3 linked regions of the Nothobranchius furzeri genome follow. The protein of the gene in region 2 interacts with the protein of the main gene of each other region in a pairwise test. Links are inferred from orthologs where the notes say so. Each region holds a gene or a part of one and is shown on either strand. Other genes may lie near its edges. The genes, in order: edc3, dcp1a and pnrc2.

Region 1 (8,396 bases), on a different chromosome or scaffold from region 2:
TCTCCTGTTCGTTATTTACTCACTTTGGTTCATGATCCATCCATGGTGATCTCATTACACAAACACAGCTGGATGAGTGGATCATGATCATCACTTCCTGTATAGTCCCCACATGATCACACCTAGTCTGACCTACTGTTGTTAAGAATATCACCCAAATGTTAATAAGGCACAGAACTTGTCCTATAATTAAATGTTAATTTAAATCAAAACTGATTAGGGAAAGAACTAGTTTTAAATAGTTGTATGATTTTTTTAAGTGTGCAGGACAAGCAGTGTTATAAATCATCTGAACAGATACTGATATTCTCCAGGCCAGTGTGAAATGTTGCACAGCTCTGACTAAATCCTAAGATGTTTCCTTCCATGAAATAAACAGGTCAGAAACACTGATCTGCTTATAAAAATAGTGTGCAATAAATGGACTTAAAATAATTTAGAAGGAAATTTAAATAGCTGCTACATCTTCATGTTTACAAGAAATCAAGAGTTTAGAAAAGACAAAACAGTGTTAACCCAGCTCAGATTTACATCAGTTCAGCCAACATATCTGAAGATTTGTCATCCAGTGGATAGAAAATGAAGCCAGCCCTTACAAATAAAGCACCGACTCTTACAGAAACTATATCTTTAAAAAAAAAAAAATTCTAACCTTCTGTGGCATCTGGGAGAAAAAAAGAACATTTATGTGTAAAGTTGCTTGGAGCACTGTGCCATAAATCAAAAGCGACAAATAAAACACCCACAAGAAAAAAATAAATAAATAAATAAATAAATAAATAAAATAACCACAAGTAAAGTCTTTGGAGTTATTGATCAGTCCTCTAGATCAGTGGTTCCCAAACTTATTTAGCCACGCACCCCCTTCTATGTCCCGACCATGTCGACCCCCCCCCCCCCCCACACACACACACACACATCGGGGCATTGCTATATATATATACATATATATATATATATATATATATATATATATATATATATATATACATATATATATATATATATATATATATATATATATATATATATATATATATATATATATATATATATATATATATCAGATGTCAAGCTAAACAGACAGGGTTAAAAAAATTCCCCATCACTTTCATTTTTTAAATAGTAAATAATAAACGTTCGATACATTACAATTTCCTTTGATTTCATTTTAAATAAATATTTGGAGTGCCCAGGTAGCACATAAACAATGCAATTTAACGGTTTTCTTAAAGTAGGAACGTTTAACCTGTGCGGCCAGAGCGCTCTCCTTCCTTCTGCTCTGCGTAAACCTGAGCTGATCACCTACTTGTGCGTAATCAAATGTCAATAGGGGACAAGATATAGCCATGATGTTCACTTTTACCTCAGACCGACTTATTGCTGTTTTATGGTGTGGCTAAATCTGCGATCCGCTGCCACGCGGACTGGAATAACAAATGCTGCAGTAACAGGACTTGTGGTCAGGTTCATGAGGAGTCACTGGCTGTAGCGGACCCGACTCATCCCAGAAGCTAATATCTTAATTTGACCTTGAATGAAAAATAACCTCTTAAAAGTTTTTATCAAGGTGGAGGCAGCGTTCATTTCTGCCTTCAGTCTGACAACGCGCCGGAGTTAAAGCAGCGTGCGTGCTTATTGAATCTGTGTGTGTGTGTGTGCGCGCACGCGTGTGCGGCATAGCCGCTCAAGTCACCGCGTCTCGTTATTGGCGCTATTTAAACTTCTGCCCAGCCCAGATGTGCTCACATGTGCACCCGTGAGCCGTGGTTCCGCTGGAACACGTCTGACCTCTGACAGACGCACTCTGAACTTCAGATCTTCAGCGCGCTGTCAATAGCCTAAATGGGAATCATTTCTTGTTATTTTGTTACATCCACAATGTTCTGTGTGTGAGGTTTACAATGTCAGAACACCTGCATGAGACAGGGTGTTAATTACAATCTGCCAGAATGACTTGCCACCTTCAGATTTCTCCAACACCGTTAAAAATGATCAAATACGGAACATATCGGCGTGCGCAGGCCAGAGTGCTGAAGCTCGGCGCATTGTTATTATGAAGCTAGGGCACATGCGGAGGACACGCGCGCGCGACGGAACATATCGGCGTGCGCAGGCCAGAGTGCTGAAGCTCGGCGCATTGTTATTATGAAGCTAGGGCATATGTGGAGGACGCGCGCGCGCAAAAATATACTTGTTTTCAATTACATTTATTGGGCCCACTTACTTTTTCTTAGGCCCACCCACAAATGAGTTTCTACAATAATGGTGACATATGACAGACTTCTCTGAGCTCCGCAGCCATTACACTTTTCACCTCGCGCACCCCCTAGCGGCAGCTCGCGCACCCCCAGGGGTGCGTGCACCACACTTTGGAAATCCCTGCTCTAGATGAAGAACCTACAAATTCTGAAAAATCTCAAGCATTGTTTATGCAAGAAGCTGCTGTCACTCAGGATTTGGCACAGAAGCTGACTGACAGCATCAGTGAACTGCAGACAGCTTCAAAAAAAGAGGAAATGCTGCAAGTACTGATTATTTGCTAACTAATAACTGTTTCCATTAAATGTGTTTATGGAATGGTTGTAAACCTTATAAAATACTTGTACTTCAGTAAAACATGTCAAACAATAACAATGAATCCACAAACAAACAAACAAACAAACCTTCTAACACCACAACTAAATCATAAAATATTAAACTCACTGGAACCCTGCTGAAGGGAGTGTGGACACATAAGTGCCAACCACACCCACATGTTTTGGACATGCAACAGAATAAAACCATTTTAGGATCAAAAATCTATTGAAATGACAAAATTATTTGGATATAAAATACCCCAAAATGAGATGATTTTAATGTTTTGTAACTTAACTGAGAATGTGGTCAAGAGAAAGGACTATCTCTGTAAAATTTTGTTAATTGCTGGTAAAAAAACAATAACCAGAACCACCAACCCTGGAACAGTGAGAGGAGACAGTGAACAATATACGATGGAACGGATCACTTTTTAGTTGAGACTGAGGGGAGAACTCTTTTTTTTAATGGGGAAAAATGGACCTCCTATCTTCAAGGGACATAGGATGCTAAAGGTAAAAATATAACTGGTTATAGGATAGAATTGGCAAAGCCCCAAGCAACTGTTTTATATTCACCCATACATTTTATTGTCATTTTTTCAATTTTGCCCTATATGGTTCTCCTTCTTTTCTTTAGTTTGTTTTTCTACCAACACAGATTTTTGTTGTATATGTTGATTAAATAAGAAAGACAAATAAATAAAAAGTAAAAAAAAAAAAAAGAAAAGAAAAAAAAGAGGAAATGCTGCAAGTATTGATTATTTGCTAACTGATAACTATTTCCATTAAACGTGTGGAATGGAATGGTTGTAAACCTTATAAAATACTTGTACTTCAGTAAAACATGTAAAAAAATAACAAAGAATCCACAACAAACAAAAACTCACTCACTCACTCACTCACTCACTTTCAGTTAAAGACTTTTGACTAAACGTTTTTACCAGCCAGATATAAAAGTTCCGTCTTATTTTGAAAAGCTCAGTCTACCGGAAACAGGAAGGCGAATAGCAGTAGCTGTTCTAAAGCTAAAACGCTAACTTCTCCGAGAGCAATTTTCTTAGCTTTTACTACCCGCTGTTTCATTTTTATTATCAAGAGGGGTCTACTTTATCTTAATTCCCTAAAGGTACGGTGATAGTTGAAGGTATTTTACGTTTCAGCACGTAAATTGGCTCTGCGTAGCTTAATAACAGGCCGGAATAATAAGCAGTCGACACATTTCGTAGGCCTAAAAATGAACAATTAATATTTGTGGTTCTCTTAGGTCACAAGTTAACGTGCTGCTGTAACAAGTGTGACAACTTTTAACTTTTTGCAGATAATGGCTGCGGACTGGTTAGGTAGTTTAGTGTCCATTAATTGTGGCCCAACGCTTGGGGTGTATCAAGGAGAAGTATCATCAGTGGACCAGTCAAGCCAAACCATCTCTCTAAGGCAGCCTTTTCACAACGGAGTCAAATGTCCAGTTCCCGAGGTCACATTCAGGTAAACACGGGTCTTTTCCACTGTTAGTAACTTTGTGTGATTTGCAGTTTCTAGTAACTATTGATACAATAGTTTGATTGTTTTTCCAGTGCCATTGATATAAGGGAGCTAAAGATTTTAGACATCAGAAGTGGTAATGCAAGGAGAACCTCTACTACAGCTACAAACGTGCACAGTGTTCCGGTGGCAGTCCCAAAGGGTGACCCCAGAGCTGTTGAGAAATTAAACTCTCCCCAGCAATGCTCTAAAAGTTACGGAGAGCGTCATCTAGATGCTCTGGGCCAACCCAAAGGGTTTCGTCGAAGACATAACTCATGTAAGGGCCATTTGTTCGGCGATCAAATAACTAAACAAAAAATCAATTTCTGTGGCATGATACTAATGGTTGAAGTTTTTCTAATCTCACCAGGGTCATCTAGTAGTCGAGGACCAAACCAAGCAACACCTAAAAAGAATGGAGTGAAGAACGGTCAGATGAAGCACAGAGACGATGAGTGTTTTGGGGACGGCATGGAGGATGACCTGGACACGGATTTTGACTTCGAAGGGAATCTTGCCCTTTTTGACAAAGCAGCAGTTTTCTCAGAGATTGACACATCAGAGCGGCGTAACGGGGCACGGTCACGGGGCACTCCTCAAGACCAGACACCCTCACGGTACCGCCATGATGAGAACATATTGGAGGGCAAACCAGTCGTTTACAGACAGATTATTGTACCTCAGCCTGGGGCCAAAGAGTACTGTACTGGTATGTGCTTAACATTGTAAATGGTATTATATGATAGTGTTTGGGTTTAAACTGGTTGACACCTTTCTCTATTACTTTCTACAGATTCTGGACTTGTTGTACCAAGTATTTCCTATGAACTCCACAAGCGGCTGTTGTCTGCTGCTGAGCGTCACGGCCTCTCACTGGAGCGAAGACTTGAGATGACTGGAGTGTGTGCCAGTCAGATGGCACTTACACTGTTAGGAGGGCCCAACAGGTAAATGTGTAAAGATGAAGACTAACTTCTAAATCACCTTAGAAATAAGGAAAGTTTTGAGTCAATTTCAGCACTTAAATTATTCGAGTAACTTAAATGAGCTAATTACAGATACTTCATTGGTTGTCATGACTGTGGTTTCCTCTGTGTCGACATGTTTAATTGGGACTGACATGCTGAGGCAGCCCGAAAAGTGGCTTCACTTTTTAATAATGGAGAAAAGCAAAGATTTTTTTATGCATGACTAAGGCCGACTCTGGTATAAATGATGGATGAAACAGACCAAACGGTTTTGGATCAATCAATCAATCAATACTTTATTAATCCCAGAGGTAAATTAGAGTTTCAGTATGCACAATTCAGAGATCAGACATACAGGTTGGTAGGTCGGGTTTTCACAGCATCTGTCTGCATTCCTTCATGGGGGTTTTTAGTTGCTTGCAGTTCAAGGCTACCAGGGCGTCAGATTCGGATAACAAGAATTTGTTTGGGTCAGGCTGATATAATTTTCCTCTTTGCCTTCAGTCTTTTAAACTGATCATTCCAGTCCTTCAGTGAAGCCAATTTTGGGTTTTTAAGCTTGTCCATACCGTCTGGTAACTCTCCGAGATGACGTCCATTTTGCACACTAATACCGGTATCGCAGCTAGAACATTGTCCAGCTTATGATTCACCTCGAGTAACGTCCCAGTCTGAGAAGTCTCCACACGTACGGTGCTTTCCGTGGGTGCAGGTCACCCTCCAACCGCTCCCGTCTTCCCAAATTTCCAGAAAACCAGATATCCTCCCACTCCAATCAGGAGAAATCCAGTGATCATCAGGCCGAATATCCACACGTCTTCGATATCCTCAATCGACAGCTGGGAGAGGCATATGATCTTCCACTCCTTCCGGGAATCCAACATATATCCCACTGGGTGTGTCCCCTGTGGACATGTGGGAGCCCCCCTACTCCGTTCTCAATGTTGAAAAAATCTTATCGATCGCATTGAATGACCAATTTATCAAATCCATGGTTAGTTAACAGTTTTTCAGAAGAAATGCAGAGAAGCGCTCTGTGGGCAGACAGGACAAAGAGCCTTGGGGAAAAAAAGATAAGGGAGCAAAAGAGGGAAGCGTCTGTACTCCTCGAGTGCCTGAAGAATCAGACATAAAGAAGATCAAACATAAAAAAGCATCAAACTTTTGAGTAAAAGATTGGGAACAACCTGCGTGATGCATGTAGCTGCAGCACTAGTCGCTTGTGTACCCTTTTGTTTTTGTTTCCTCAGGTATGTTCTGAGGTGTAGTTTCCAATGTTTCCTCTTTTCGATGTTAATGCAGGTTATTTAAAGAATTTTCGTTAGACAATTGATCCTGTTAATTTCTCCAAATTTTCTTAACCTAATCTGTGTTTCATTTCAACTCTAGATTCACACCAAAAAATTTACATCAGCATCCCACTGTGGCGCTGATGTGTGGACCTCATGTTCAAGGCGCTCAGGGTATCAGCTGTGGTCGTCACCTGGCCAATCATGAAGTAGAGGTTATCTTGTTCCTGCCAAACTTTGTCAAGATGCTTGATTCTGTGACAAACGAGCTCACACTTTTCAACAAAACTGGAGGCAAACAGGTGTCCAGTATCAAAGGTGGGTTTGTTGGGACATAAATATTGATAATTTGTTTATTTTAGTAATTAAGAGTTCAAAAATTCTATAGTTATTCTTTTATCTGACCTTGCAGATCTCCCAGACACACCAGTTGATCTGATCATAAACTGTCTGGCCTGCCACGAGAACACATTCCTGATGGACCAGCCTTGGTACCGGGCAGCTGCAGACTGGGCCATCCAGAACAAAGCACCAGTGCTCAGCTTGGATCCTCCTGTAAGTGGACAGGGACATGCAGTAGAGGCGAAGTGGTCCCTCTCGCTTTGCCTCCCCCTTCCTTTAGCTGAAGGGGCTGGCAGGGTGTACCTGTGTGACATCGGTATTCCTCGCCATGTGTTTCAGGAAGTTGGAATCAAATACCTTTCTCCTTTTGGCTGCAAATTTGTCATCCCGTTACACTCGGCCTAAAATGATCGAGTATAATTTTCACCATCCATGACCATTTTGGTTTTGGAGCCTTATATTCCAAAAGTCTCAGTTCAGTTTCTGATGTATCACATTAACTGGACTTTGCTTCCCTCATACTGGTGGACCACTGTTGTTTACTTCATACAGACATAAGACTACGTGAACGAAGGAGGAATATATTTTGAGTCTTTATTTCAAACCCATGACCTGACCACTGGAGGAGATTGATGTTGTGGTTAAGTCAGGGGGTGATAAACAGTGTGACTAAGTTGTTAAATACGCTGTGATATAAGGTCCTCTTCTAAATCGAAAAGGACAATCTCTGAAGTGAATTTCATAGTTCTGAAGCCATATAACACGTACTTCCTCTTTTTTTTTTTGTTCATGAGGCAGAAAACGTGTTGCTAGATGTAACTTCAGTTATGTTGTTCTGAACAGACATTTCCATCTACACTTGTATTTATCAACAACAAATGAGATAAATGCAAATATTTGAGTTATTGTGCCAGCAAAGGAGTTCCTCTAATGTAAAAAGTCCCTTTTATCCAGCATGCATGTAATGCAGAAATTATATAGATCAGTCATCACCAAAATTTGAGTTAAAATAAAACAACATCCTTATTGTGATGCTTGCCAAATGGTGCAGCTGCTGGATAAACTTGCAGAAATCTGCAGAGCTGTGATTAAAGCAGTCTTATTTTGCTGTTTGAGCATCTGAGGGGAAAGTTTTTCTTAAGGACAGTATCAGTGTGTTCATAGCAAAATACCTGTTAGAATGATCCATTTAACACCTATTAAATGTATTTTCTTGCAGTTTTGATGTAAATGTTCTTTGTCTTTTTGGACGACATAAAACATTTTGCACCCTAAAACACAGAAATCTGCAGTAAAAACCAAGCCTTTCTTGTGGTTTTGTGATGCGGTTGAAGCGTGAACCGTCCTTATAACTGCATACGAAGCTACACCAACAGGATATGTTGCAAACTGAATGTTTACTTTTTGCACAACTTTAGCGTGCATCTTTTGTTTTATGTTGCTAAGAAGTTAATGGCTGTCCGCGGATCAAATGCTTCCAACTGTGGTTTGATATTAGACATAAGGGATAGAAATGACAGGTTTGATCTTTGAAGTATTAAAGGTAATGCTTCCCATTTTCTCATAATAAAAGCTGCAACAGATGATCCATTTAATTTGACATTTTTGTCTTTTGAACGGACACACAATGTGTGTGTGGACCTACACACACATTTAGATGTCCTGCGCAAAGTAGCCTTTAAGAACCAAAAAGG
Region 2 (8,510 bases):
TCAAATGTCAGATTTTAGTCAGATTTGAGCACAAACCCTTTTAGATTTGATCTATATAAGCATTCCAGGAATGGGGTTTTGTTAAATCACATGCATCAAAAATGTCTGTTGTCAGCGTGGAACCCACATGGTTCTTCCTAGATCACAACAGAACAAAGGAGACGCATGTGGAATGATTCAAATTAGCACCATTCAGCTGAATAAACCGCACAGGAGGGCTGGTCAGAACAAGAGGATGAATCTATAAACACTTAAGAAAAAAATTACAGTTCATGCAAAATGTTGTTTTAATCTGTTTATTTCTGAGGCAAAATTTAACTTTTGTAAAAATCTATCGTAGCACTTGATTTAAGATTGAGTCTCTTTTGTGATGACCTAATGAAAAGCACCAAACCTGTCTTGCAGGGTTTAAACGAAAACTCCCAGCAGCAATGTCACATCTGCACCGTGCACTGCAGCGATCGTCATTTATGTTTGATCGTGTGCACAAGCTGCTGTGTGAGGTCTCTGCCTGAGCTTGGTTCAGTTTGAAAGTCTGAGTTTGGCTTTGTGAGCGTTACCTGGCCTTGTCAAAGTATTTCCCGGTGTAGGCCATCCCACAGGCGGCTCCCAGCCCCTGACCCAGAGATCCAGTGGCCACGTCCACAAACTGCTGCTTCTGTGAACAGAAACACATGTTTTAATCTTCATAGACAGAGAAAGAATCTTGTAGGGATGCAGCAGATCAGCTTTTGCACCCACAGATTCCAGCAGATCAGAATGTCACCTTACCGGCACGGGGTGACCTTCCAGGATGGAGTCGACCTTTCGGAGATTGAGGAGCTCATTCTCCTTCAGATAGCCAATCTCCGCCCAGACAGCATACAGCACAGGGGCTGCGTGACCCTGGTTAGGATCAGGCAAAAGCTTATTTAATTTAAAAATTAAGAAGAGTTGACAACATGAATGCTCAACTGGCCTTGCACATATATGTCACTATAAGCTGTCTTTGTGCATGCAGAACCTGCTGTTACCTTGGAGAGGATGAACCGGTCATTATTGGGGTTGCGTGGGTCTTCAGGTCGATACTTCATGGAGTGAAAGAAAAGTACAGACATGATCTCTGCCGCACTGCAACATGATGTTGGGTGCCTACAATGAAGAGGAACATGACTGAGAAAATCCCACATTGTATGTCTGAAGCACCTCCGGCTGCACACATGCAGACTCAGACACGGAGCCAGAATAAAACCAACAACTCGAGGTTCAACAGTCACTGTCTGATGGTGTCATATTTCATCAACGAGGTTAAATAATGCTTAAAATTTTTAAGTTATGACACTTCTCCTTATCTCACCCGCTACCCGCTGCAGTTGTCGCCTTGATGGAGTTGATCCGGAGCCGGGTGGCGATGTTCCTGAGCGCCTGCACAGTCTGTTGGTCCGGTTTGTGGTAGTCCTCCATCTGGCCGCAGTAAAGCACGCACGCACAAATCGGTTTAAAGCTGAGGAAAGAGTTAAAAGATGTCTGTCTGCAGCTCCGAGAATAAATAGGATGAGTTTTCAGAGGACGATGACAGGTGAAGGGGGAGGGAGGGGGCGTGTCTGCCTATGGATATGGCTAATCTGGGTTGAAAGGAGCAGGTTAGTGGAACAATGCAGCCAATAGGGTGAGAGAGAGCCACGAGCACACGCTCATACGCATTCAGGCAGATTATGGACAAATAACCGTGGTGCAGATGAATTAGTGTTCATGTGGAGATTAATTATAAAGAATGAAACATTAAAAATAGAAAAAAAGTTAATGTAATCTGATAAGAATGAACATTTATTTTGTTGGTTCTTATCAAGGACACAGAAATGTTCTTATATTATATTACAGTGTTTTGTTTGGTCCCACTTCTTCATCTAATGGACTTTTCATGTTGGCTCCATGTGGAACCAGGTGGACTTGTTACATCCTCACGACAAAACTTCTATTTTTAATCGATCTGAACAATAAAAGAAAAAAGGAAAGCAGAAAAGGAAGAGATAGACATATTATCAAATAAAAAAGAATACTCTGCTTTGTTAGTTTCTGTCATGATTTCTATTACTTTTGTGTGTTTTACCTTCTTTGTGTTTTTGTGGGCTGATCTACCTTTGTCTAAATTAAGCAGGCATGTATTTAAATTTTGTAAAGTTTACCCATGCTTTTGGGGTTAAATTAAAAAGAAAACACCTTTGTGGACTAAAACATGCACCTTAACAGCACAATATTCTACATTTTCCAGGTTCACCTGTAGATCACATTTTAAGGACCCGGTGAGTGGCTGTGTGAATGATACCAAATATCTGAGACACCCTAATGAATGAAGGAATGACAACTTTCAGTAACCAATCTGTTCCATCAGACAGGGCCAGGCCTGTTAAGATGGGGGTGGCCCAGCTGGGGGTGGCACCTATGGTTATGTCTTTTTTTTGGGGTGGGGTAACCCTCCCAAAATAATTAATTTTTCGCATTCTAGTGAATAAGCTAAATTCACATTGTACCATGACTGTTGTTTCTGTTGCATGCCGGGATGCTGGTTGCTGTGATACTTAAAAAAATTCTTTAACAACTTTCAAACAAACAACCAATTACTTGAAATAAATTTACATTTATTGCTGCTTTGTTGAAAACATTCAGAGCATCAACTAATCGTCCTAAAATTAACTACTTATATTTGAAACTACATATTTTCAGAAAAGGCACCTGAGCCTTTTCTCCTGCGGCAATGTGGTTAATACACTTCACCCAAGTCTGCATCGATGCAGACTTGGGTGAAGTGCAGGTCAAAGGCACAAAATGATTAGCTTCCTCACCTTACGCACTTGCACTCCTGGCTGGGATTGCACAATTGAAGGGTGCAAGTGTGAAAGTGCGAGTATTGGCATTGGGGCATAAAGTAAATTTCAATGGAACTCATCCAGGTGGCTAACCAGATTCCAAAGGTGTCTTATGCACACCAGGCCTCTCCCTGGACACGCCCCTGCCATAAGACAGAATTGATACCCATCATGTTTCAGGGAAAAAATCATAACACGTTTATTCCAAATATAAACAATGAAGTGCTTATCACCATCGACATAAATATACTCATCACAGGCAAATTCAGCTAGCTGGAGCCATTGTTTTGCATATAAATGTCTGTCAATGAATTAAGACTTCAGAAGTGCTGTCACATCAACTGAAAGCTAGTGGCATCTAGTGGTCAAGCTAACAAAATGCTTTAGAAAGTTTTACTTCGTTTCAATAAATAAAAATGTAAAACTTTTTCTTAAGTTTTAGCCAAAATGCATCCAGACAAAATAAAAAACACATTTCAGCTTTGAAACAGATTTTCACAGCAATAAATAAATAAAAATCAGCAGTCAAATCTGTGTTTAAATCTTTATTATAACAAAATATGGCCAGCCAAATATGTAACAAACAAAACTTTTTGAAAATCACATTTCTGGCCTTAAGATAAATAAAATAACTAATATCTTAAATATGTGACTATGATTAAAATAATCAATTTTACACTAAACATACCAAAAACCAAAATTATGCCTGAAATCATTATTTTAGTTTGATTATTTAATCATCTTTCTAGAATGCACATTTTTCACATTCTACACTGAAGCAGTCAAAAAAAAAAAGATTTGCCGATCTGAGGCGGAAACAGCATTCCTATAATAAATCAGACACAGTCATGATGTCAAAATAAGGATTTATAATGAAATTTGCTTGAAATTATTTAATTTTTTTTAATAAAATAAAAAAAAATCTTTTAGTCTTCAAAATTTTTTTTTCTTGTTAATTAGTGACTTTGGAGCAAATGAGCAGAGCTGATTTAATGAAATATGCTTGATGATTTGTGACTAGAAAAACATTTTTGCATTTAAACAATTTTTCTAAAAGAATGAAAATGTTTGAAATGTAAAAAAAAAAAACAATTGTGCTTTTCCCCCCCCGAAAAGCTTTAAACAAAAATAAAATTATTGGAGATTTAAATATGACTGGATAAACAAGAGGACTGAAGCTAATTTATTTACTTTTAATTTGGTTAATGTGTAGCTGACTAAGTAACATCAGACCACATGTGATAATAAGGACTGAATGTTATAACATAGATTCTAATGGAACAACACTTATATAAGTTTAGCTCATGATGTTTAATTTGAAAGGATTTTTTAAAATTCATAGCTCCTCTGAACTCGGACGTTTACATAAACGCCATTGTGCAACCCTGAACGCTGGTTATCACCCTAAAGGTTATTTACGGCACAAGACTCTCCAAAAGCACCGAGAGCTAAGCCAGTGGAGGAGTCATAATAATACTGAAAGAAAAGCAAAAGGTAGAAAAAACACGAGTAATAGTAACAAAATATTGTTTGTTTTTTTGTGAGTCTGAGAAGCATAACAATGCTTTAGTCAGCAGCCAGAAACAAAACGTTAGTTTTTTAGCTGCCTGTCTGCACAGGAACGGACGTTTTTATACAAAAAGGTAAAAAAATACTGTTTTCAAAAAAGAAAAGTACACAAAATCAACTGGAACAGCAGTTCAGTGTTTACATATCTTAACCAGATACACTCCTTGCCTTGATAAGACTTCCATGACATTCCCTAGTATAACCAGTTCAAACCGGCTTAAAATATCAAACTTCAGCTCATCTTTGCTCAATAATAGTCTCTTCTGTGGTCACATGGGTGCAGCAGTGACATCATCAGTGGGGTGGGACTATAGCTTAATGTTGCGCAGGTCCTTGGATACACTCTGCAGGTACGCCTCATGAATGGCACTGAGGAACTCTGGGTTATTCTAGACAAGAAGGAAGTAAACAACCATCATTCAGCTTAAATTCAACTCATTCTTTTTAACTCTGAGCATCAAAGATGAAACTTTGCCTCTCGGAACTGTACCTTAATGAGGTGTATCAAAGTGTCCTGTAGCTGGGTTTTACTGAAGGGTAGAGACTCTACAGCCCGTCCAGAGGCACAGGACGCTTCAGAGGAAGCAGGAGGCACCATGGGTGCTGATGTGCTCTTATTCGTGGTTTGCTGAAAGACGCTGGGGGAAAGAAGCACAGACATCTCTGACACGGGGACAGCTAAAGCTGGACTCACGGGGAAAGCCTGGGAACAGAGACAAAAGGAAATTTTGTGGATAACCAGCTGAGAAAGATATAGAGACAAAAAGCCACCAGCTAACAAACTCACAGGAACTGGGTTTATCAGGCTAGGAGGCTGAGAGAAAACCTCTTTGTTGGATTCTTGGAAGCTATGAGGTGGAACCAGAGCGCTTGGCAGGAAGCTGGGTGCAAGGACCGGTTTGTGAACACCTGAATTCACAGACGATGCAGCTGGTTTGAGCGAGCCAACTAGATCCTGCCCCAAAAAGGAGCTGGGAGTGACTGGAGAAGCTATGGGCCCAGACGGAGTAGCTAGATGCTCAGATCCAGATGGAGACATCATAAGAGAGGAGATGGAGCTCTGGGATTGGGGGTCCTGCCTCGGAACCACCGAGTGGAAAACAGGACTGTGATTCAGCACATAAGGAGCTGGGATTAGGGCGGAGCCTTTCTGCTGCTGGTGGTTGGAGACAGAGGGGATGCATGGACTTTGCTGGGGCGGATAAGGTTGTTTCTGGACAAAGGCAGTAGGAAGATCAGTGGAAGCTGTGCTGTTGTGTGAAGGCGCGGCCATTAGAGAGGGTTCCTTAGGAAGAGAAGAACCAAAGAGCTCCTCTACTGTGATCTGCTTCACCATCGTATGAAAGCCCTGCATTAAAAAAAGAGGGTTAATTATAAATTATTTTATGATCATGTTTTATTTGAGAATCACCTTCATTGCCCCCTTTTTAGAATCAGTATTTAACTAAATGATGAGTTTTGGCCATTATAAACTTTAGCAATCGATGGTTTTACAACAATCTGCTGCAGATTGTGACATCTTTAAATTCTGAAAAAGATTTTTATCTCTAAGATGCTAATTTTGAGACATTAATAAAATCTGGAATACAAAAGAAAAACGTCAAAATCACCAAGGAACAGGGCCCAAAACAGAACAAATAAAGAAATCAACAATTCCCACCATTATTACTTTAAAAATGACAAATAACTTAAATAAATATAAGTATTTATATAAAATTACAACTAATTTCTATTATTTCTAATTTCTATTATTTCTATATTTGTTCCATTACACATCATTTATAAACAGATAAAATTAGGAAGTAATTAGTAAAATAAAGATTAAACCACTTTTCGCATAATAAAAAACAACATAACTTTTCTGCGGTCAACATCAAACAAATACAAAACTTTTATTACATTCTGTCATCACCTCTAAAGGACGTAATAAAAACAACAGAACTCATAATGAATCTTTTCAAGTGTGTTGTGTTCTTTATCATCACTGATTGTTGCTTTCATGCTCACCTCTGCAGACACTTCTGTCTCCCCGGACTGGGTCTTCAGAAAAAGACAAAAAGACAAAGTGATCAGGTGTTTTAAGAAAAACTAAAACATCTTTTAAAAATCTTACTCTCTGATATTCTTCCTTTGCTTTGCTGAGCAGCTCCAGGATGTCGATGGGCCGCGGTTCTGCGACTCCATTGCTTCTGCCTGCCTCTGCTCTCTCTGGGCTCCTCCTCTTGGCGTGGTCCACTTCTTGTTTTACAATCCTGGAGCAAAGTTAAAACATACTGATGAAATACTTCTAATTATTTACAGAACTTCCCCAAAAACCATATCCACAAACACAGCATGGATGTGCTGACCTACTTACTTCACCATCAGCTGAGCGATGCGTTGGCAGTCCTTTTTGTCATAAAACCAAATACTGTAGATTCCCACTGTAAAAACAAAACAAAGAACACATTTTTAGCTGCCTAAAAAACTGAAAAATTACAATTTGTCGATTAAAGCACAGAATTAGGGTGATGACTGAATAAAGCTGTTTAGAGCTGTGTCAAGGACTCGGTTCTGCATGATTTGCATCTTTGTTTCAAGCAGCAGATAGAGAACAGAAAAAAATAACATCAAATTTGACACAAACCAAAAATGATTTAGTGATTAAATATTACATTTTTCACAGAAACATTAACTTGTTACCACATCACTTATGTGATTTTGGATTGCACCAACACACTGGTGAATATACCATCCCCCAGGGAGGCTGTGGTTACCTAGCAACTGAAGAGTTTGCCTCCCTGCAGCATCTCCAGCCACCAAAGGGAATATGAAGCCATGTAAACAAGTATGTCTCTCTCCAACAGTCTATAGCCCCGAGCTGCAAGCTCACAAGCACTCAAAGGAGACTGAAGAAACACTCATATATTTGTTAATCATCACCATCTCTCTGAAGATTTAACCGTACTTGTGTCTAACCTGTGCTCTTTATTTGATCCTGCTTTTATGCCAGCTCAGTCTTCATCGTTTCTTCTACTACTCTCGCTTTCAGGATCACAGCTGGGAAATCTAAACTCATACAGCCACACCTTTACAGCAACAGGCTACAGAACGAGTCAGCACACTGAGATCTAGTGGACTGTGTGTGTGCGAGGGACTGTCTGCTGCCAGGGAGAAACCTGAAGATTATCTTCCTGCAACTCCACCAAACAACAATATTAGCACACATGCTAAAGTAAAGTTATCCGAGAAGCTGGTTTTACTGGGATACCAACCTCATCATGTCCTCGATCCCAGCCAGGCTGATGTGCAAACCAACTCCAAAAGGGGAGCCGTCGACTCTAACTTTGACCCTGGCTATGCTGTTTTTCCTTATAAGCAAACAAATGGGAAAGCATTCTAACTCCTTGTTCGTTGCCCTGATGAAGCTTCTCTTCAGACTTCTAATAGATTACCTTGGAGGCAGCGCAGTCAGCTACTTTTTGAAGATTTGAGAAACTTTGCGGCCTTTTTGTTACACTGCTCTGTCACAAGGCTGGAGGACATCGCTGGATTAACTTAGTGGTCGGATTCACCAATCAGAGACTTAACTCTGAGACGGTTGCCCAAATGCAGAAAGATAACTGTTCACTAGCAAAGCTGAAGTTGCTGTTTGGCCATTTTGGGCCATGAGTGCTAAAGTGTTCCTGCTTGATGCTGCAAGACGTCACAATGACTTCAAGCAATATGGAAGAGAGGTGTTCCATCGAACGCTGGGGAGATATCTGTCTATTGTTTTCACAGGTAGGATCATAATAGTGTTTATGCTAGTTAATATAATTAAGGATCATAATAGTGTTTATGCTAGTTAATATAATTAAGGATCATAATAGTGTTTATGCTAGTTAATATAATTAAGGATCATAATAGTGTTTGTGCTAGTTAATATAATTAATACACACATTTGTATGTAAAAGTGAAGATATCACTAATGCTTCAAATAGGAAAATTATGAAAATGCCAAAATTGCAGAAATTTCTATTAAATAATGAGCATTTTGTGACTAACAGAATTTAACAAAGCAACAATAATAATAAGCTATTATACTAGGAGGAAATGTATTTTCATTTTGGTTCA
Region 3 (8,018 bases), on a different chromosome or scaffold from region 2:
TATTTAAAGAACCTACTTTTGTTTTTAAGTCACATTTTAGGCTTGATTTGTGGAATGTGGAATGACCTTCCAAGCACTACCAGAACAGCGGCTTCCTTTTCAATTTTCAAGAAACTCCTGAAGACCCTGCTCTTCAGAGAGCATCTTCTTAACTAGCACCCTCCCTGCACCCGTCCCCCCTCTCTACTGTCCACTCCTTGTTCCCTCCTCTCCATGATTGATGTCAATGTTGTTGTTGTTGTTGTTGTTAGCCTCAAGGGCCACATGCCGATTATCACTTGTAAGTCGCTTTGGACAAAAGTGTCTGCTAAATACATAAATGTAAACATAAACATTTAAATCAAAAAATACATGTCTGTGTACAGTTTACTGTACTGTACCATTCCTCCAGCTCAGGCTCTCAAACATGAGCCAGCTCCTCCCATGGAGAACCCATGGAGCTATCAGGCTAGAGAGGAATTATCTGCTGAAAGATCTCCTCCCAAAAACCTCCAGAGGAAGGTAACCAGGAGTCCTCTTGATGAAACAGCAGCTGCAGCTCTACTCAACTCCCACACTGAACCTGCAAACAAAGTACCAAGGTCAAAAGACCAATCCTGTAAAGGCACTAGTTCACTGTCTGTGATTGTTATCCTGACTCTTATATAAAAAATGCTAAAACATCAGACTGTACAGCAATGTATCAGAAGACGGTTTAGATTTTTAAAGCATGTTATAGTCAACAGAACACCAAATACTTGCTGCTTTTATAGAATTTAAATTATAAAAGAGGTTTAGACAAAAGTTAAATTGGGTCCTGTTAGCATGCAATCCTGACTGTACACTGCTTTTGTAAGAAACTACGGTGACCTGCAGGGTGGAAACAGCTGATTTGATATTTTAAAATGACTTGCACTAAAGAAAATCTGTTACATAATCTATTTAATAAAACGTTCAGCTTAAAATTAACCTGTTAAGTTGCAACATTTATAGTAAGGTGCAAGTTGAAACTGTTCTGTTGATGAAAACAACATATTAAATGACTTCATTTGCATGTGTTTAAACATAAATGACACGTGAAACTTTTTGTCTTTTCTCACCCACTTCCCTTTGTTTGTGTGTTTGGAAAATTTGGAGATTTCAGAATATTGAAATTCCTATCATGACCCTTGCCTTTTAACATATTTTTTATTATTTAAATTGGATTACTATTATAGACCTTGAGTAAATCCCACTTTGCATGAGCAAAAAGAATGAAACAAGCAGCTTTCCTGTTTTCCATTCTACTATCTATTGGTTTAAATCTGTTACTCTTTGACTTGTTTACACTGTCAGCATTTGCAAACAGTGAAATGGGTTTTAGTGACCCACAGAGGCCTCAGTGACCTACTTTCCTTACATAGCCAATCCTGGTGTGCACAGCCCCCATTCAAGGCAGCGTTGCGTTTCAAAGGCGTGTCCTGCCATAGTGTGACAAATGCCTTGTTGCGCAAAAGCTCCTTTTAACTTCAGATAAGAAAAGTTGAGTTGATCAAGGACAAGACTATCTGCTGGTCTGTACTTTGCAGACTTGGAGTCCCATAAAACCACCTGCTAGGCTATGTCACATGTTGTTGTCCTCAAATGGTCTGTAGTAGAAAAAATCTTATTGAGTTTCAAAAGTAAACAAGTATTAAAAATGTCTTATTATACGTTTTTATGATTTTTATTGGATATGGAAAGAAAAAAACTATGGACAAAAGCTATTATGTCATGGCTCATTTTAGGAATGGGTCAATGCTTAAAGTGGCAGTGTATAGTTTCCTGGCAAAAGGGGGCAGTACATACATTTCTGGGTAGTTTTACACCATATCGCCATTGCTGGTTTAAAAAAACATTACGGTAAATATTGTTGCCTGTGGAGCAGAAAGCATGCAACCTCGGCGTGACTCCTCAGACTTTGATGGTCCTTCGGTTATTTCCATTGAGAGAATGCAACGCCAATTGTAGTTTGCTGGCACTGCACTTTCCGGATCTGCTCGGGGTCCTGCGCCTGCCAATGACGTCATCACACTACGGCAATGCCGCTTGGCCAAAATACATTGCATCTCTTTTTTGATTCTGTTCTTTCACTTATGTTTTGGAAAGAGTTTATCAGTTTTGTTAATAAATTTGTGTTTCTTACTGCCTAAATGTTTTTGAACGTGGTAAACTAACTTCCATAAGTTGTACATCCAGCCAATCATCTAGTGTGACATCATCGACAGGCGCAGGACCCCGAACCAGCCAGAAGGAAAGATGGTGTCTAATATGGCATCCCCCAAAGACGACCTGCACCCTATATACCCGATTTTTATGGTTATATGGTACCATGCCGCTAACATTTTTCAACAACTGGACATCATTTTATTAATTTTCAATAATGTTTAAAGGGATATTTCCAGAGATTAACGGCAAGAACAACCCATTAGCTACATTTACATGCGCCAAATTTCCCCCATCCAATTCAAATTTTGGTTGTTCAGAAATCCCAAATCTCTGTTTACATGGACACTAACTGAAATTATCCGATGCTTTAGATTTTACCTATCACTTTAACTAAGCTAGGCTCAGCGGTACGTAACACCATTTCCTCCACAGAAGAGGGGAGCAGGATAACTTCTGTTCGCCTCCTGTCATGTTTTTGACTTGTCCTGAGCGTCTGCAGAAGCGGAAAAATGTCACGCCAAAGTTGCACACATGCTCAGTGGGCATTACCCCAAGAATCCAAATGAGTGTACATGGACGTCAATTGGAGTGTTGATTGGACAAAATCACCTATCTCAATGGAATTTCATTCCAAATGAGCTGTATCGGATCAGAATATTCCAATTGACATGTTTACGTGAATAATCTTTGATCTTATAGGGCATTCATTCCGATTACTTGTCCCCATGTAAACATAGCTATTGTCTCTTTAAGTCAAACTTACATCGAACCAACTCAAATATAGGCTACATGCAAAAATCTTTGCCATTTTCTTTTATTTCAAAAAAGTATGTGACATTTCTTACTGATACTTCATGGCTATTGTAGGCTTTTTTTTGTCCATTCCCTTGCCAAAAATGTAATTTTGCAATGCTGCAGCTCTCTCAACCGTATTATTTATTTATTTATTTATTTATTTATTTATTTATTTATTTATTTATTTATTTATTTATTTATTTATTCCAAAACACTTTTTTTTAAAACATTCAGGTGGCTGTTATAGCACTCTTAATCAAACCTGGATTGAGAATCTGAAAAAGAGTTTTGGTGAAATAATTGTAACTTGAGCCAACGTTGGGGGATGGGTGGTGTCATAGTTTTCTACAGTCACTGGTTTATGTCTTGTGTTATGGTTATTACATCCTGTTGCAACTGGTCAGAGCTGAAGAACAGATTCAACCCACAAAACGCAAAAAAACAAACAAACAGTGGCATTCTGTTTCAGAAAAACAGTTAAATCTGAAAGGTTGTTGTATTTATCTTGTTGCATAACAAAACACGATTGCGCTGTCGACTTGAAGCTAATATACGGTGTTTTATGTACCACAGGGACACTTCATACTTGCTCTTTTGCTTGTAAACGTGAGATTTTCGTCATCGAGAGTGATTGTTTTGAGTTGTTTTGTCACTTCTCTTAGGAAATACCCGGAAATACCCTAACCATTTCCAACAAAGGAATGGGAGGGAGGAGGGTCAGCCATTGACGTCAGCAGTCTGGCAACAGGCTCGAGCGCGTCCGCTTACCTCTCCTGTAATTGGTCGCTCGGAACGCATTCCCTACGTGATTGGTTGGCTCCGTGCGAGCACGGACTACATAGCTGTGGTGAAGATTCCATTTTGTTGCAATCAGAAACGGAAGGGAGAAGTGGCGTTTCGACGGCCACCGGTAACAGCACACAAGCCTCAAAGGGTGACGGATTTGTAGGAAACATAGACTTCTGTGCTTCCTACACAGTCCACGGAGTGAAATCAGAGGCTAACCACATAAATATTTTCAAAGAAAGGCTTTAACAACCAAGCCTGAGGAAGTCGGTAAGAGAAGCTGTTTTGAGTCTCGTCGCCATGTTGAGTTCCGTTTCTTTTGTTTTGGTTATGTGGCAAAATACAGCGATACGGATTGGGTAGCCGTTTGATTTGTGTTTCTAGCGTTTGTAAATGTGAAATTAGTTAACTAAAGTGCGACTTGCCATATTTTCATCGAACTTTATTAATCAAATTCATCGTAAGTGGTTGGAACAATGATTAATACTAAATGCGTTTTTATGCTATTTTGTGTTTATTTGTTCATTTTTATATCAATAAACCCTGAGAAGTTAGAAATAAGACGACGGGGTGTTGTTTTTGTCTTTGTCATGACGCATTGTGGCGTACACCATTGTTACAGCTAATTAATGCCTTGTTACATAATAAAGACGTGCGTAGCTTTTGTTTTGTATATTATTGTCGCTAGTTTGCGCATCTAAAAAACGCCTTTTCACGCATTTTTAAGGCTCTCGACTTCTTGGAGCATCGTGCGCCGAGGTGAATTGATGTTCAGCTCGGCTTCACGGGAAAACAACGCTCATTGGCACATGAAAACTTCAGACCTTGCTGGACTTCTAAGTGCAGCGAGAAGTAGACAGAGAGCTACTTCGAGGACCTGGGGACCGATCGGAGGTGAAAGATTAAAGAGGGATCTCAGCCACGTCCACTCTCTCACAACAAAGAGGTGAGAGCTGCCTGGCTGGGGGTGTTTTTGCTCTGGGTTGTGTGTGGGGGAGGGGCAGCGCAGCCCTGGACGTCTGCAGCTCCTGCACGTAGCTGCTGCAGCAGCTTGTTTTTTTGTGGAGGGTGCAGTGCAGAGTGCCTTTTACGCAATAACTTTTATTTTAAAAACGAAAATGGTAACGTTTTATAATTGTCTTGCAGGTGACAGGTAGTAGTGAAACATGGGAGGTGGAGAGAGGTACAACATTCCAATTTCCCACCCGGATCGCCCCAAAAAAGCCCATCAGCTTGGCAAGGCTAAGCAGAGAAGCCGTGACCAGAACGGAACCACAGCAGCATCTGTAGGAGGAACGGGGGCCCTTCACCACCACAGCCACCGTCGGAGCGACAAAGGCCCTGCCTACCACAGATCTCCAGAGGCATGGCAGGCCATGTCCTTGGAGAAGAATGCTTCTGTCCGGTTTGCCACCAACTACGAAAGCTGGGAGGGTGCAGTGTCTCATCTTAACACGCTCCTGTCAACCCAGGGCAGCCCGAGCTATGCAGGCCCTAAGTTCAGTGAGCCCCCCTCACCTAGCGTGTTGCCCAAACCCCCGAGTCACTGGGTGTCTTTCCCTATAGCGTCCTGTGACCACAGGGAGATGATGGCCTTCGAGCTCAAAAACCTGCTGAAGGTGCAGGCTTGAGCTGAGTACACACACTTCACCTAACTAGAGCCAATGCTTAGACTGTGACTCTGTTGAGGCATTTGCTCACCAGGAATGCCTCAAAGCTGTAATACACTTAACGTTTTAACAGACATCATCCGTAGCTAAACGTGGACATTTAAAGCAGTGAATTGACGTTGAGTCAATTTCTTTTAAATAGACTTTTAAGCTATTACAGCTTTGCTGCCTTGTTGGTTGGGCATGCCTTAAATGGAGCCAGTTTTTGTAAAACGACGACAAACTGGATTCTTTTTACCTTTTTTTTGTTTTGTTCTTTTTAGAGTTGGCTGTCCGAGCAGATTGAGTGTTCTTTTTTCCCCCCCAAATAGGGGTTGAACTATAGGTCAGGTGACATCCATTACTTTTATGGTCCATTTCTGTGGGCAGCTGAGCTACTTCACTGGTTTTGGTTTTAAGGTTAAAGTCTTTGGAGGGACTTCCAAAGTTTCGGGTGCTAAAGCGAGTTCATGTTTGTAGCATTTTTTTAAGAGCCCCCCCCCTTTTTCTTAGCTAATATATATACCTTGTTTGGAACGAAAAAAGGCACTCAACTGTAGTTCTGCAGGGAAAAATGATATTCTATTGAACGTGAGCTGGTGGATACGGTGAAAGCCTGACCTCGAAGGCTTGAACGAGACCATAGCACATGGACTTCAGACCACCAACTCCTGTATCCCTTTTTTATTGCGCTGTGCGCACACGCACTATAGGAGTTGAGTGTGCCTGAAGTCCGCAACACTATCACAGCATTATTTTGTACAAGTCCTTTTTGATGTGATTGAAAGATATGTGAAGCGCTGGGTAACCAAAGCTTTTTTTTTGTTGACGGCCCCCGTGTGGTTGGCGTGATTCCCACTCCTTTTCTCTTGCCAGCCCCGGCGGTGAATGGGTTAGCATTCCCTAAACATTCGTCTGTTTCGATCAGTACTGTTACTGCCCTTCAGTCTCTGCCTCATCACGACGGTGGCGCAGCTCCCAACGCGCGGAAGAGGGCCTCGTTTTTACGACGGGGTCCAGTTGGGTGCGCGCACGTCTGAGGTGAGGTAGAACCCAGGAGCTTTTCTAGAGGGAAGCAGCTCAAGGGGCGTAACCTATAGCAACGGAGATGATTTGTTTGTTTTCAAACGTCGTCCCTGACCGACCATCTGATAATCCGTCCCCTTGATGCTGCTCGTTTCCCCTCCTGCACTGTAACCAGAACTTCACCCTGAGTACCAGGTTAGGATGCTATGGGAAGTGATTGAGATGCAATGGACTATCTTATGAGTTCTATATTTTTGTGATTTAGGCCTCTGCTGAGGCTTTTTCATGTTTTCCCTTTGCAGAATTGAAGCTGCTAATAGCCAGTGTAAAAACAACAAAACAAAAGAGATTGTTAATGTGTTCAAGAGCCATGTAAATAAAAAATGTGTAAAGTACTTGTAGCATATGTACATTTACAGGCAAACATTTGATGCCTGTCTGACAAAAGTATTTTTAGTAATGAGAATGAATGTATAAGACGTGCTAAGAACATGTCTTGACTTCAATATTGAAGAATATTTTTGTTAAAAAAACAAAGAAAGTTCCTGCTGTTAGCATTTAGCAGTACCCCTACACTGTCGACCTGAAGGAGATCTTACACATGTTTTTCTATTGTTTTGTATTACGCAGTGTAGGGTCAGATATGCCAAGTGCAAATTAAATAAAACAAAAAAAAAATTTAATTGGATTCGAGGAGACTTGCGTATGGAGAGATTTGACGTTTTAATCTGTTTACAGATTGTAAGATCGACACTTAAATGCTAACGAACTCGTTAAGTTAATTTTTTGCCAACTTTTCTTTTTTTCTTGAATAATCACCAATCCGAGGTCACTTTGAGCCCTCAGCTGTTCTTCCGCCAGCTGACGGTTGAATCTGACTCACCGATTAATTATTACCTTTGTTTTTTTTGCCGGATTCAGTCTTGCATAGCAATGTCTCCTCGCTCTACATAAAAACAGAAACAATTGGCTGCTAATTTGTCCCTTTTCGCGAAACGTCACCGATGATTAAAAGATGTGCCCCATTTTAAGATTTGTCTTGATTGATTTTCAAAAATGTAAAATGTGCATTGAATTGATGACAAAGTTTAAAAAAATAAATAAATTCCTTCCCCTCCCCCATCTTTGTCTCTGTTTATTGTTATTTCAAATAACTATATTTGGGTGTGATACCCTTTTAACTTTAATTTTTGTAGTAATTCCTGCTATTTTTAGCACAGTTGTCATTCAAAAAATGTCAAAATGCTAAATTATGTGAATAAGTAAAAATAAAATTTTTGATTATCAAACATTTTACATGTTTAGGAAATGTATGTGACATACCTATCATCCATGTGGGAATGCTATGGCATAAAAATTATATTAATGCATGCACATATCCTATAGAGGACACACTGCACAGACAAATAGTTTTTTGCATCATTTAAGTTTTAGTGTTATTTATATTCACCTCCATAAAGCTAGAATTGAATATGACATTTACTTTAAAAGCCTTAGTTTCAACAATAAGTGTTTTGCATTGTGTCAAAGGCATGTTGGCCAAATGTGCACAGACATAAAGAACAACACAACATACAGTAAACACCTCTTTATTTA

Evidence for each region.
Region 1: the proteins of dcp1a (region 2) and edc3 interact in binary tests that used the Homo sapiens proteins (3 or more experiments, as listed by UniProt). The two-hybrid records come from large-scale screens. The link is inferred for Nothobranchius furzeri from reciprocal best matches to the Homo sapiens genes DCP1A and EDC3.
Region 3: the proteins of dcp1a (region 2) and pnrc2 interact in binary tests that used the Homo sapiens proteins (3 or more experiments, as listed by UniProt). The link is inferred for Nothobranchius furzeri from reciprocal best matches to the Homo sapiens genes DCP1A and PNRC2.

What each region holds. Positions count from the first base shown.
Region 1 is NC_091744.1:58,992,372-59,000,767, reverse strand, and holds edc3 (enhancer of mRNA-decapping protein 3), read left to right. Parts: upstream 1-3,564; 5' UTR 3,565-3,705; intron 3,706-3,897; 5' UTR 3,898-3,900; coding exon 3,901-4,064; intron 4,065-4,136; coding exon of another isoform or gene 4,137-4,153; coding exon 4,154-4,380; intron 4,381-4,473; coding exon 4,474-4,812; intron 4,813-4,896; coding exon 4,897-5,050; intron 5,051-6,460; coding exon 6,461-6,678; intron 6,679-6,772; coding exon 6,773-7,107; 3' UTR 7,108-7,334; downstream 7,335-8,396. UniProt on the Homo sapiens protein: Binds single-stranded RNA. Involved in the process of mRNA degradation and in the positive regulation of mRNA decapping. May play a role in spermiogenesis and oogenesis.
Region 2 is NC_091755.1:32,988,596-32,997,105, forward strand, and holds the end of dcp1a (mRNA-decapping enzyme 1A), read right to left. Parts: intron 6,839-8,510; coding exon 6,772-6,838; intron 6,668-6,771; coding exon 6,529-6,667; intron 6,456-6,528; coding exon 6,423-6,455; intron 5,764-6,422; coding exon 5,203-5,763; intron 5,119-5,202; coding exon 4,906-5,118; intron 4,805-4,905; coding exon 4,724-4,804; 3' UTR 3,379-4,723; downstream 1-3,378. Other genes in the region: transketolase-like, read right to left, coding at 561-658, 772-885, 1,014-1,131, 1,337-1,443. UniProt on the Homo sapiens protein: Necessary for the degradation of mRNAs, both in normal mRNA turnover and in nonsense-mediated mRNA decay. Removes the 7-methyl guanine cap structure from mRNA molecules, yielding a 5'-phosphorylated mRNA fragment and 7m-GDP.
Region 3 is NC_091745.1:69,953,115-69,961,132, reverse strand, and holds pnrc2 (proline-rich nuclear receptor coactivator 2), read left to right. Parts: upstream 1-3,829; 5' UTR 3,830-4,017; intron 4,018-4,474; 5' UTR 4,475-4,693; intron 4,694-4,893; 5' UTR 4,894-4,913; coding exon 4,914-5,378; 3' UTR 5,379-5,919; downstream 5,920-8,018. UniProt on the Homo sapiens protein: Involved in nonsense-mediated mRNA decay (NMD) by acting as a bridge between the mRNA decapping complex and the NMD machinery. May act by targeting the NMD machinery to the P-body and recruiting the decapping machinery to aberrant mRNAs.